Mytilus edulis: one gene and its partners. The main gene of each other region encodes a partner of the protein of the gene in region 3 in a complex. Links are inferred from orthologs where the notes say so. Each region holds a gene or a part of one and is shown on either strand. Other genes may lie near its edges.

The links.
Region 1: structural maintenance of chromosomes protein 5-like (region 3) and non-structural maintenance of chromosomes element 1 homolog share a complex: the UniProt entries of both Homo sapiens proteins name them as parts of the SMC5-SMC6 complex. The link is inferred for Mytilus edulis from reciprocal best matches to the Homo sapiens genes SMC5 and NSMCE1.
Region 2: structural maintenance of chromosomes protein 5-like (region 3) and non-structural maintenance of chromosomes element 3 homolog share a complex: the UniProt entries of both Homo sapiens proteins name them as parts of the SMC5-SMC6 complex. The link is inferred for Mytilus edulis from reciprocal best matches to the Homo sapiens genes SMC5 and NSMCE3.

The regions. Positions count from the first base shown.
Region 1 is NC_092344.1:117,754,466-117,758,226, forward strand, and holds the start of non-structural maintenance of chromosomes element 1 homolog, read right to left. Parts: upstream 2,871-3,761; 5' UTR 2,729-2,870; intron 1-2,728. UniProt on the Homo sapiens protein: RING-type zinc finger-containing E3 ubiquitin ligase that assembles with melanoma antigen protein (MAGE) to catalyze the direct transfer of ubiquitin from E2 ubiquitin-conjugating enzyme to a specific substrate.
Region 2 is NC_092344.1:12,733,599-12,737,359, forward strand, and holds the start of non-structural maintenance of chromosomes element 3 homolog, read right to left. Parts: upstream 2,915-3,761; 5' UTR 2,900-2,914; coding exon 2,846-2,899; intron 1-2,845. UniProt on the Homo sapiens protein: Component of the SMC5-SMC6 complex, a complex involved in repair of DNA double-strand breaks by homologous recombination. The complex may promote sister chromatid homologous recombination by recruiting the SMC1-SMC3 cohesin complex to double-strand breaks.
Region 3 is NC_092347.1:98,060,771-98,064,531, reverse strand, and holds the start of structural maintenance of chromosomes protein 5-like, read right to left. Parts: upstream 2,979-3,761; 5' UTR 2,898-2,978; coding exon 2,776-2,897; intron 1-2,775. UniProt on the Homo sapiens protein: Core component of the SMC5-SMC6 complex, a complex involved in repair of DNA double-strand breaks by homologous recombination.

The DNA of each region.
Region 1 (3,761 bases), on a different chromosome or scaffold from region 3:
CTGTTATTAGACTTTTGACGATGTGACAGTGAATTTAAGCATGGATGCAATTTGGGTACTCCTCATTTCAGAATCATTGATGGTTTGGAGGTCAGTTTAGACCAATTTTTCTATGATTCCATATGGAATAAAAATCAAATTGGTGTACCTTTATAATAAAGAAGGATACGGCTACAAAATGAACACAGAATGGACATTTTTGTCTTTATCATAAAAAACATGTACATGAAAAAACTGTCAAAATAGGTGCAATTTGGGTACCGTCACGTTACATAAAAAATATTAATCTAAGTTCAAAAATCGTTCGTAATTGTGTCCGGTGAGGCTATATGACGGAATAATCAAAGTATTTCATAGGTATACATTACCAAGATATACATATAAAACTGACCCTTATCGATTGCAAAGTACAAATAGTTTAAATCATGACACAGGCGCTTGGGTCTATGATACAGATATTTTTTTTTTTATTTTTTTTATTAAAATATTCAATTTTCTATATTTATAACACATATCTATCACTTTTGTGCATGTCTCACCTAGTTTCGAGTGATTTAAACGACCCAGTGAAAATACCCAATTTTACTATCCATACTAAGAAACAAAAAGGCAACTAACTCGACGCCATTTTTCTGCTATCTATAAATAAATAGATTGACCTACCTGGATTCCCCAACAATTTCTCTAGGAAAGCGTGCCTTCCTTGCCGTCAGATCGCACACATCGTTGAAATTTATCAAATTGGTATTGTTCGTAACATTTTTAGTCCATCTCCAGCATATAATAAAAAGATTTTAACTTTTTTGACTAATTTCAAATTTACGTGCCGGGAAGTTAACTGTTTTTCCCGAACTTTTGTTAAAGGGAAGTAATATTTTCCCGGACTTTTTCGGAATATCTCTCTAAGTACGTATGAAAATAACAAAGTGATACGATGACTTCCGAACTAATACTATATGTTAACAAACAGATATGATGAATATCGAACAAGATCAAGCCCCTAATTTGATTGTTAGTGGTCATAATCTTTTAATTTTCAAAAATCACAGTTTTGATTTTATGTTAGAAAGGGGAACTGCAAAATTTGGAAATATTGTCCCCTCCCCCCCTTTTTTTTTTACTTCAGTTAACATGACCCATGTTTTGTAATAATTAAAACAAAGTCAATAACATTTTCGTGGAAAGAAAATATTAGTAAATTTCCTTGCCCCCCCCCCACCCCCCCTTTTTCACCAAATAAATAAAAATATCAGATCAAATGGTCAATGGCTTAATTTTTTTTAATTCCACTCATAAGTCAATTTTGTGTGAGTATTTGTATATTTATAAATTATCATGAATCAATGTTTTTATGAGTATCTTCTTTTGGTTGAATTGTCATCATTTCAGACTGAATATGATGACAGATTCTTTTCCGGTAATTGGAAAGTTGCGCCTTTTTGGTAAAAGTTCGGAAATCATCGTATCACTTTATTATTTTCATACGTACTTGGAGAGATGTTCCGAAAAAGTCCGGGAAAATATTACTTCCCTTTAACAAAAGTTCGGGAAAAACAGTCAACTTCCGGGCACGTAAATTTGAAATTAGTCAAAAAAGTTAATCTTTTTATTATATGCTGGAGATGGACTAAAAATGATACGAACAATACCAATTTGATAAATATCAACGATGTGTGCGATCTGACGGCAAGGAAGGCACGCTTTCCTAGAGAAATCGTCGGGGAATCCAGGTAGGTCAATCTATTTATTTATAGATAGCAGAAAAATGGCGTCGAGTTAGTTGCCTTTTTGTTTCTTAGTATGGATAGTAAAATTGGGTTTTTTCACTGGGTCGTTTAAATCACTCGAAACTAGGTGAGACATGCACAAAAGTGATAGATATGTATTATAAATATAGAAAATTGAATATTTTAATAAAAAAAAAAAATAATAATATCTGTATCATAGACCCAAGCGCCTGTGAATCATGAGTATGAAAGTCAATGCATTTATCAGTATTTGTGCACTCCCGAGAAGTTGACCACCTGGCAATATTCAAATAGATATATGTAATATACAATAAATAATAGGTTAAATAATAACAATTATCAGTCCAGATTTGTCACAATATATACATGCACTGGTTCAAGAATTGGATAAACATTATTTTTCACCAGTCACTCGTTTCTTATGACTTTAATATTTACGATCTTATTTCTCGTGCTTCGTTTTTCCGTTTTTTATTTTCCGTGCAACGTTTTTGCGATTTTTATTTCACATGTTTCAGTGTTCAGGGCCCCCTTTACCACCCTCCTATAACACAGTAATCTCAGGGGATACATACAGAACACGAATGAATCTATTTGCAAAAGTGAATCTATTAGTATTAAATCAAGCATTTGTATAGTGAGGGGGGATAGGAGGGGTCCTGATCCCGAAATCCCGGACTTAAAAAAACAAAATCCCGAGTTACCGAATTTAAATTTAAAGTAAATCCCGACGTCCCGAAATCCGAAAAAAAGAATTCCCGGATCCCGAAAGGGTCAATCCCGAAATCCCGAGCTTAAAAACACGCGATCCCGGAGTCCCGATAAAGGTCCTATCCCCCCTCTATAGTAAGAAGGTCTTATTATACAAATCCTTGATTAAATCAAATGTAACAGTGACCAGGAACATATATATTAGATCATGGAAGTATGTCAATATAATACTTCCATGATTAGATATACTGTTCCCAGCAGTGACTTACAATAAATAGCAAGTGTTTGTTTCTTGTGTCTGTTTTGTTTATTTTTCTTCCTGGTTCCCGCCAAATCCAAATAATTGACTGGTACCATACATATAATTTCGAATCTATAATGAGCTAAGAGAAAGATCAACTCTGTTAAAAATTATAAACTCTGCATGATTTTGTGTCAACTCTATGATTTTTATTTTTATTTAAGACTTATACATTTAAATCGTCATGTAACATTTAGTTTAAAATTTAGAGTTTAATTTTGAAATACCTAAAACATAGCCTGTTATGTCGGACCTTCTTTCTTTTCTTCGTAGATTCCTCCACAACGGAGCACCCTTATCACACGGTAGTTTCACTGTATCTGTATATTTTCTGCCAATATTATAGGCACACCTTCAGTATGAAGTCAATATATCCCTTCACCAATATAATGACATACAGTAGTGAATTACAATATCCAATCACCAATAGAATATATATAACGATGTACACTATTTACAAATGTCGGTATATCTTTACACACAAATCACACCCGTTCTCATCTATAAAATCTAAAAATGAGTCCTTAATAGAAAATATGAGATTTGCAGTCCACACACAACTTTTTTTTTCATTAAATAGGGCTATGATCTTAAATTATTTTTTCTAAATCTTTTCTGATCTAAATTTAAAAGTTTGTATCTGTGTAAATGAAGCTTATATATTAATGTTCTACAAGCAGGCTCTATATGGATGTTAATAAAAGCACAAAGTTCACTGGTTAGAGAGGTACCACAATAATTTACTAGATGATATGGATTGATAATAACATGGATGAAGTCTACATCTATATCATGCATATTAATGTTTAGTAGTTTTAGCACTTTGATATATTGTTCTCGGAGAGATTTCAAAAGAGACATTCTTTCAGTTTCTAAAGGTGTACATGAAATCAGAAAATGTGAAATGGTTTCATCCTCTTTACCGCAAACTCTGCAGACGGCAGATACATCATTTTGATTAAATTTTGCTCTATTTGTCTGTAAGATGTAATTGCCAGTTG
Region 2 (3,761 bases), on a different chromosome or scaffold from region 3:
TAGGCCCAGTTTTCAAGTCGGTCCAAATTGGGGTCCAAAATTAAACTTTGTTTGATTTCAACAAAAATTGTATATATGGAGTTCTTTTATATATGCTTAATCTAACCATGTATTTAGATTTTTGATGTTTGGGCCCGGTTATCATATTGGTCCACATTGCGGTCTTAAGGGTCCAAAATTGAACTTTATTTGATTTCATCAAAAATTGAATTCTTGGGGTTCTTTGATATGCTGAATCTAACCATGTATTTAGATTTTGGATATTGGACCATAATAGGTAATGTCAATTTAAAATTTAAAGTTTTTAAGTTCAAGTTCTTAGACCACATTCATTATGTGTCAGAAACCTGTGTTGTGTCAACTGTTTTAATCACAATCCAAATTCAGAGCTGTATCAAGCTTGAATGTTGTGTCCATACTTGCCCCAATGTCCAGGGTTCAAACTCTGCGGTCGTATAAAGCTGCGCCCTGTGGAGGATCTGGTTTAAAAGAGTTGTGTCCCTTGGAAACCCTTAAATTATACGGAAAGTTGCATTGTCAATGATTGTTAGTGCTCTCATGTGTACAATTCTTCCCAGAATTTTATAAAACTTAATTCACAATCATAAAGAAATCACATAAAATCTAATTGACCTAAAATTTGTTGATATTGCTTAAATTATATTGAAACTTACCGGTATTGTTACATGGGTATTAGTATTAGATATAATGGCAGTTTTAATGTCGCCATCACTTCGCCATTTGAAAAAGCTAGGAAAGCATATTTTAAAATAAAGAAAACAATAGGATTAGATAACCCTTGTAAACTTCTGGGAAAACTTTTTGATTCCTTAGTAGCCCCTATTCTCCTTTATTGTAGCGAAATCTGGGGGATTATTTCGACATTTAAAGACAGTGATGCCTATGAAAAGTTGTGAATAAATAGGATTTTTGTACTCGAACCTCATGAACTTCAAGTTCAGTATACATTTGTAATTCAGACATGTGAGATATAGGTATCATTGGGATACTTCAGTATTGGACTTTTATTGTAAATCAATAATAATTCCAGTAAGAAAGCATTTCCTCTCTGCAATTAGAGATATACATTGTATAAAGAAGATGTACACCCTGTGTATCAAAAGTCAGATCTGGCAACTTTTATCTTCTTCTTTTTCTGCAATAAACATGATAATAACCCCTCTTTTTTCCTTTAGTGTTAATTTAATCATTGTTAATTAAATAGCTGGTCAGTGTTCATAAAACTTATCATTTGATTCTATTGATTAATAAGCACATGTTCTTATCTTTTATATCCGTGAGACATGTGCATGTGTTTACCATTTACAAAACTAATCATCAAACATCAAACATATAAACAATAAACATGATAAAATGTCAATGCTATTTTTCTGATCACAAATATTATTGATTTAGGTGATTAGATTATCAAGAGAAAACATTAACAGGGGCGGATCCAGGATTTAATGTTAGGGGGGGCGCAAATTTTTTGTTTGCTGAGCGGAACGAGGCGAAAAAAAATTTTGAGGTAAAATTATTGAAATATTCTTCTAAAGGGGGTGCAATGTAGATATCACGAACTATTGTGTGGTAAAATTAGCGAGAAATTTACGTTTCAAGCTGAAACCGACGAAATCCTCCTCTGAAAACAATCTATAATTACCATACTTAACAAGAAATCTTTGAGCTTCTATTCATTGAGACTATCCCCATATATTTCCTCAAAACGGGACAGAAAACAATAAGGATCGATAGAGACATTCCTCAATCCGGAGTACACAAGCTGACCCTCCACATAAAAGTATGTCAATAGTTGCTGGGAAAACTGGTGTTGCATTTAATGAAGTACTAGAAATAGATGTGCATGCGTCCTAGTTAATCCTCTGGACCAAATATATAGTGTCTGACTGACAGATGGACGGACAGAGGTAAAACAATATGTCCCTGTTCCGCGAAGAACCTCCGAGTTATGAGGGCAAGGTGTCTTACAAGTTGGAGAAATCCACAACAATCTCCAAACACCCCTCACTCAGGCATGCACTAAGGAATTCATATTGTATATATGAGTTTATAAAGCTACAGTAATAAAGTTGCAGCCCCAAAAACAGAAGCTGAAGATCATGCAAACCTTTTATTTTGATTCTGTGTTCCAATGCAAACCAATCTACAATCAAGACACCATCACTTGTAAAATTATCTATATAGCAATATCGGGTAATATCTTAACTAAACCCGGCTTAAAAGACGTGCTGCAGGTAGTTGTGATATAAAGAAATACAGGTACACCACAAAAAAGTTAGTTGGAACTTTGATTATCAAAGAAATTGATAATAAAAAGCGCAAATACAATGAAAAAATTAACTGCTAAACATCTATTATGTTTGACACCAAACGCAGCTCCGCGTTTGACACCTTCCTTTGGAGTATACAATATTTTTAGAACTTAAATAAAATGTAGGTCAGTTGATTAGTAATCACATTAATTCTGTTAAACTGACTGTTATATATACAATATAATATAATGAATGTTAAAAAAGATGGAATGGTATCTTCTGATACTTAAATAAGTTGAAGACAACCCATGCTTTGCAAATTTTTTTTGGGAGGGGGGGGGGGGGGGGGGGCGCACGCCCGCCACGCCACCGCCTAAATCCGCCCCTGATTAAGTAATATTTAATTACCTTTTAAGTTCTTTCTGTGAGAGCCCTGACTGTTGTTACAGTATTTTACACATAAATAAATGTATCTGCCCTGCAGATTATTCGCTTATCTTATTCTATAATAATACTTCTTTTTTTTGGAAGATAAGTTTTGTTTTAAAAGAAAATTACATGAATATACATACCAGAACATAACAGACAATAGGTTTACAATCACAAAGGTCATGAAGGTCACCCATTCAGAATCAACTTTGCACTTTTTTCATAAATATGTGGATTTCCTTCCAAAATTTTAAATAAATATTTGAGCCGGCAAAATTAAAACAATGATAGAAAGACGTTGCCTAGATTGGCTAGAAACTGAAAAAGGATTGGATGTTCTAGAATGACTATAATTTAATATCATTCCATACATGGACACTGCATGTTATTTTAGTATTATTTTTATTGACTGGGTAACAGATGGTATACAAACATGTCTAAGTTTTAAAAAATACACCTGAAAAACTGATATTTTGTAATTTGAGATCAGTTGAATATTAAATAGTACATGTATAACCAAAGTTTCATTCATTTAAAATATAATGTTTGTTATCTAATTTATATTTTCAGTTGTGGACATAAAAATTAGATTAGCTGGAATTCCTGGAAGAAATATTGGTTGTATAATTCGGATTATGCCTTAATTTTACAAGAATAAACTTGAGAAAGGCAGAAAATTTGCAGGTTTGTTTTACATTGAAATGTCTTCATACATGTATATTGGTATTCTATTGCAAAATCATAAATGAACATATAATTTCATACAGAACATTACTTGTTATTCGTTTGAAATGATGTATTATATGATCATTTTATTGCACTAATGCAAAAAGCTTCAAATTAGCAATGTGTCATCTTGGACAAAAATATGTTTCAGAAGACAATGAAAGAGTTAATGTTTATCAAGCTTTGGTATATACAATAAAAGGGTTACTGCACAAAAATTGGACAAGTATCCTTTGTAGCATATGATATGAATAGCACACCAAGGTGTTTCAATAAAAATCTATTGATGATAATATTTCCCCTTATGCATGCAATAACCCTTAGTACATTCCT
Region 3 (3,761 bases):
TAAACCCTGAAACCAAATTTCAGAAATCTTTGAATTGTAGTTCCTGAGAAAAATGTGACAAAAATATTCATGGGATGGACGGACAGAAGGATGGATGGACAGACAGAGGTAAAACAGTATACCTCCCTTTTTTAAAGCAGGGGTATAAAAATCTTGTCATACTGTTACATGTGACAATGCACTACAGGTTAATTACCAAAGGGAAAATATTATAAACAAGAGTTTGTCCCTAGTACACAGATGCCACATCCGCACTATCGCTTTCTATGACATACATGTACTGTCCAGTGGACTATGAAAATGGGGTAAAATCTCTAATTTGGCATCAAAATAAGAAAGATCATATCATAGCAAACATGTGTACTAGGTTTCAAGTTGATTGGACTTCAACTCCATCAAAAACTACCTCGACCAAAAACTTTAACCTGGAGCGGTACAGACAGACGGACGATTGAACTGACAGACAGACCAGAATACATAATGCCCATAAATGGGGCATAAAAAAAGTTATAACATTGTAACCAGAGAGCATGAATTTCATTACAAAAATTGCTCGTCTCCACAGGGACCTCTGTGTAACAAGACAGCAAGTTAACTGACTGAGCTAAAGAAGTACTTAAGCTTCCTAATTAAATGTAGCTCAACCGCTTATGGCTGACTAAGTATCTACTACATTTTTCTAAGGGAAGCAATCCTGTCACAATATTTTATAATTTTTTTTTTTTTTTAACTTTTTTTTTTTAAACTATTTTATAATTTGTTTGTGTTCAACTTAAGGTTCATGTGGACCATCAAAATTCACTCTGAGTACAGACAAACCTGTGCATCTGGAAAAGTTTTAAGGCATAGCATGCCCTAGATAACTATAATTTAAATGCATTGTTATGATTCAGAAAAATTCATAACTAACCGGATTTTGCAGTGCACTTTTTTTTGTCCCATCAGAAAATGATAAAATTAACAAACAAATGAGTTTTGCTTGTGGTCCACTCTGGTACACTGATTAAATAAAAAAATATTGTCAGGTATCTATTGTCCATGTCAAACAAAACAGCTCACTTCAATAATACCTGTGGGGAATATCTCAAACCTCTTTCCCAACTTAGTTTATTTTGGTACCTTCTGGAGGAATGAAAACTAAAGGCTCTTAAGAGCCTGTGTCGTTCACCTTGGTCTAGGTGCATACATGTATTTAACAAAGGACACAGATGGATTCATGACAAAATTGTGTTTCGATGATGATGATGTGTTTGTAGATCTTACTTTACTGAACATTCTTGCTACTTACAATTTTCTCTATCTATAATAAACTTGGCCCTTTACTTACAACAGAAAATATTTTGTAAAAAAATTACAAAAATTTACCAAATTAATGAAAATTGTTAAAAATTGACTATAAAGGACAATAACTCCTTAAGGGGTCAACTGACCATTTTGGTCATGTTGACTTATTTGTAAATCTTCCTTTGCTGAACATTATTGCTGTTTAAAGTTTATCTCTATCTATAATAGTATTCAAGATAAATAACCAAAAACGGAAAAATGTCTTTAAAAAAATAACATGAATTCCGTAAAAATTACCAATTGGGGGGCAGCAACCCAACAACTTGTTGTCAAATTCACCTGAAAATCTCAGGGCAGATAGATATTGACTTGATAAACAATTTTAACCCTTTCAGTTTTGCTCTAATTGCTTTGATTTCAGAGTTATAAGCCAAAATCTACATTTTACCCCTATGTTCTATTTTTAGCCATGGCGGCCATCTTAGTTGGTTGGCTGGGTCACCCCACACATTTTTTAAACAAGATACCCTAATAATGATTGTGGCTAACCAGGCTAAGTTTGGTTAATTTGGCCCAGTAGTTTCAGAGGAGAAGATTTTAGTAAGAGATTACAAAAATATACGAAAAATTGGTAAAAAATGACTATAAAGGACAATAACTCCTTGAGGGGTCAACTGACCAATTTGGTCATGTTAACTTATTTGTAGATCTTACTTTGCTGAACGTTTTTGCTGTTTACAGTTTATCTTTTTCTATAATAGTATTTTCGATAATAACCAAAAACGTCAAAATTTCCTTAAAATTACCAATTCAGGGGCAGCAACCCAACAACCAGTTGTCTGATTCATTGAAAATATCAGGGCAGATAGACCTTCACTTGATTAACAATATTACCTTTTGTCAGATTTGCTCTAAATGCTTTGGTTTCAGAGTTATAAGCCAAAATCTACATTTTACCCCTATGTTCTATTTTTAACCATGGTGGCCATTTTGGTTGGTTGCCTGGGGCACCGCACACATTTTTTAAACTAAATACCCCACTTATGATTGTGGCCAAGTTTGGTAAAATTTGGCTCAGTAGTTTCAGAGAAGATATTTTTAAAAGTTGACGGACGACAAGTGATGTAAAAAGGGCACTGCAAAATCCTGTTAAGTTTTTATTTTTCTAAAAAATATTCAAAATGTATTTATCTAGGGCAGGCTTTGCCTTAAAACTTTTCCAGATGCACAGGTTTGTCACGCAGAGTAAATTTTAAGGTGAAAACACGCCCATTTTAACCAAAGGGTCCACATGAACCTTAATCAAGCAGGGACAATCTATACTATTTGAAGTCCCTGGTTCAAGGCATACTTTGTCGGATAGCCTACTACAGTTTTTCATTGGGTAGAGAGCTTTTAACATTATATTATAAGATTTGTAGTCTCCTGTGGCCAATGCCCGGCAATGTAAAACTTGTGAAAAGTTGCCTGCTACTGTTCTGTTGAACTTACAAAATATTTTCAAGCTTGATTCTAACTATTGCACCTTCCTTAAATGTAACATCTTCGTGATTATTGTTTGTTAAAGCCAGCTGAGAGCTATTCTGTCTCCGTTGCTTTACAGAATTTTTCATTTTTCAATATTTTTGACAAAATTTCGCGGCAAATGTTACAAACAACCATTAAACTTCCTGTATGTGTTAGAAGCTAAATTCAGTATTCAGTCCCGTACTCGACTCAAAGAAATAAAAAAAAATCGTAGTGTATTCTTATCCTTCACAAATTCTTATTCATTCTTATTCTTATTACAGGGACATAAAAAATTTGATTGAAGTTTCAGAGAAGATATGAACATTCAGTATTGAATCCGGTTCCTTACCTGGAAGAAGAAGAAGAAGAAGAAGAAGAAAAAAGAAGAAGAAGAAGAAGAAGAAGAAGAAGATGATTCTATTCTATTCTACCATATAGTGACCGCCTTCAACAAATTGAAGATTATGTCACAGGAGGAAACTTACAACAAGACATAGATTGGAAAAATGTACAATTTTTAAAAAATAGGAAAAATTAAAAATTTAAAATGTTTTGTATAATAAAGTAAGATGTTGTAATTGAGTTAATATTGATGCTTTGAAATTGAAGATTTGAAAGAGTCGACTGAAGTGCAATTTACAATGTTGTCCGGTAGTTTGTTCCAGTCGGTGATAGTTCTTGGAAAATATGACTCTTTTCTGTACTGTGTTTTGCAGGATGGAATTTGGAAGCTGTTCGAATTTGTATGTCTTGTTTGTCTTTTTTGTGGAATTAATTTATTTTGTTTAGGGATTGCAACCTTTTCGTGTTCAATTTTGTAGAGCATTACCAATCTGGAGTCTTTTCTTCTGTCAGAGAGACTGCGCCATTCAAGATGTTGTAACATGTTACCAACGCTTGAGGTGTTTCTGTATTTGTTGGTAACAAAACGCGCAGCCCTCCTTTGAACTTTTTCAATGCTATCTATG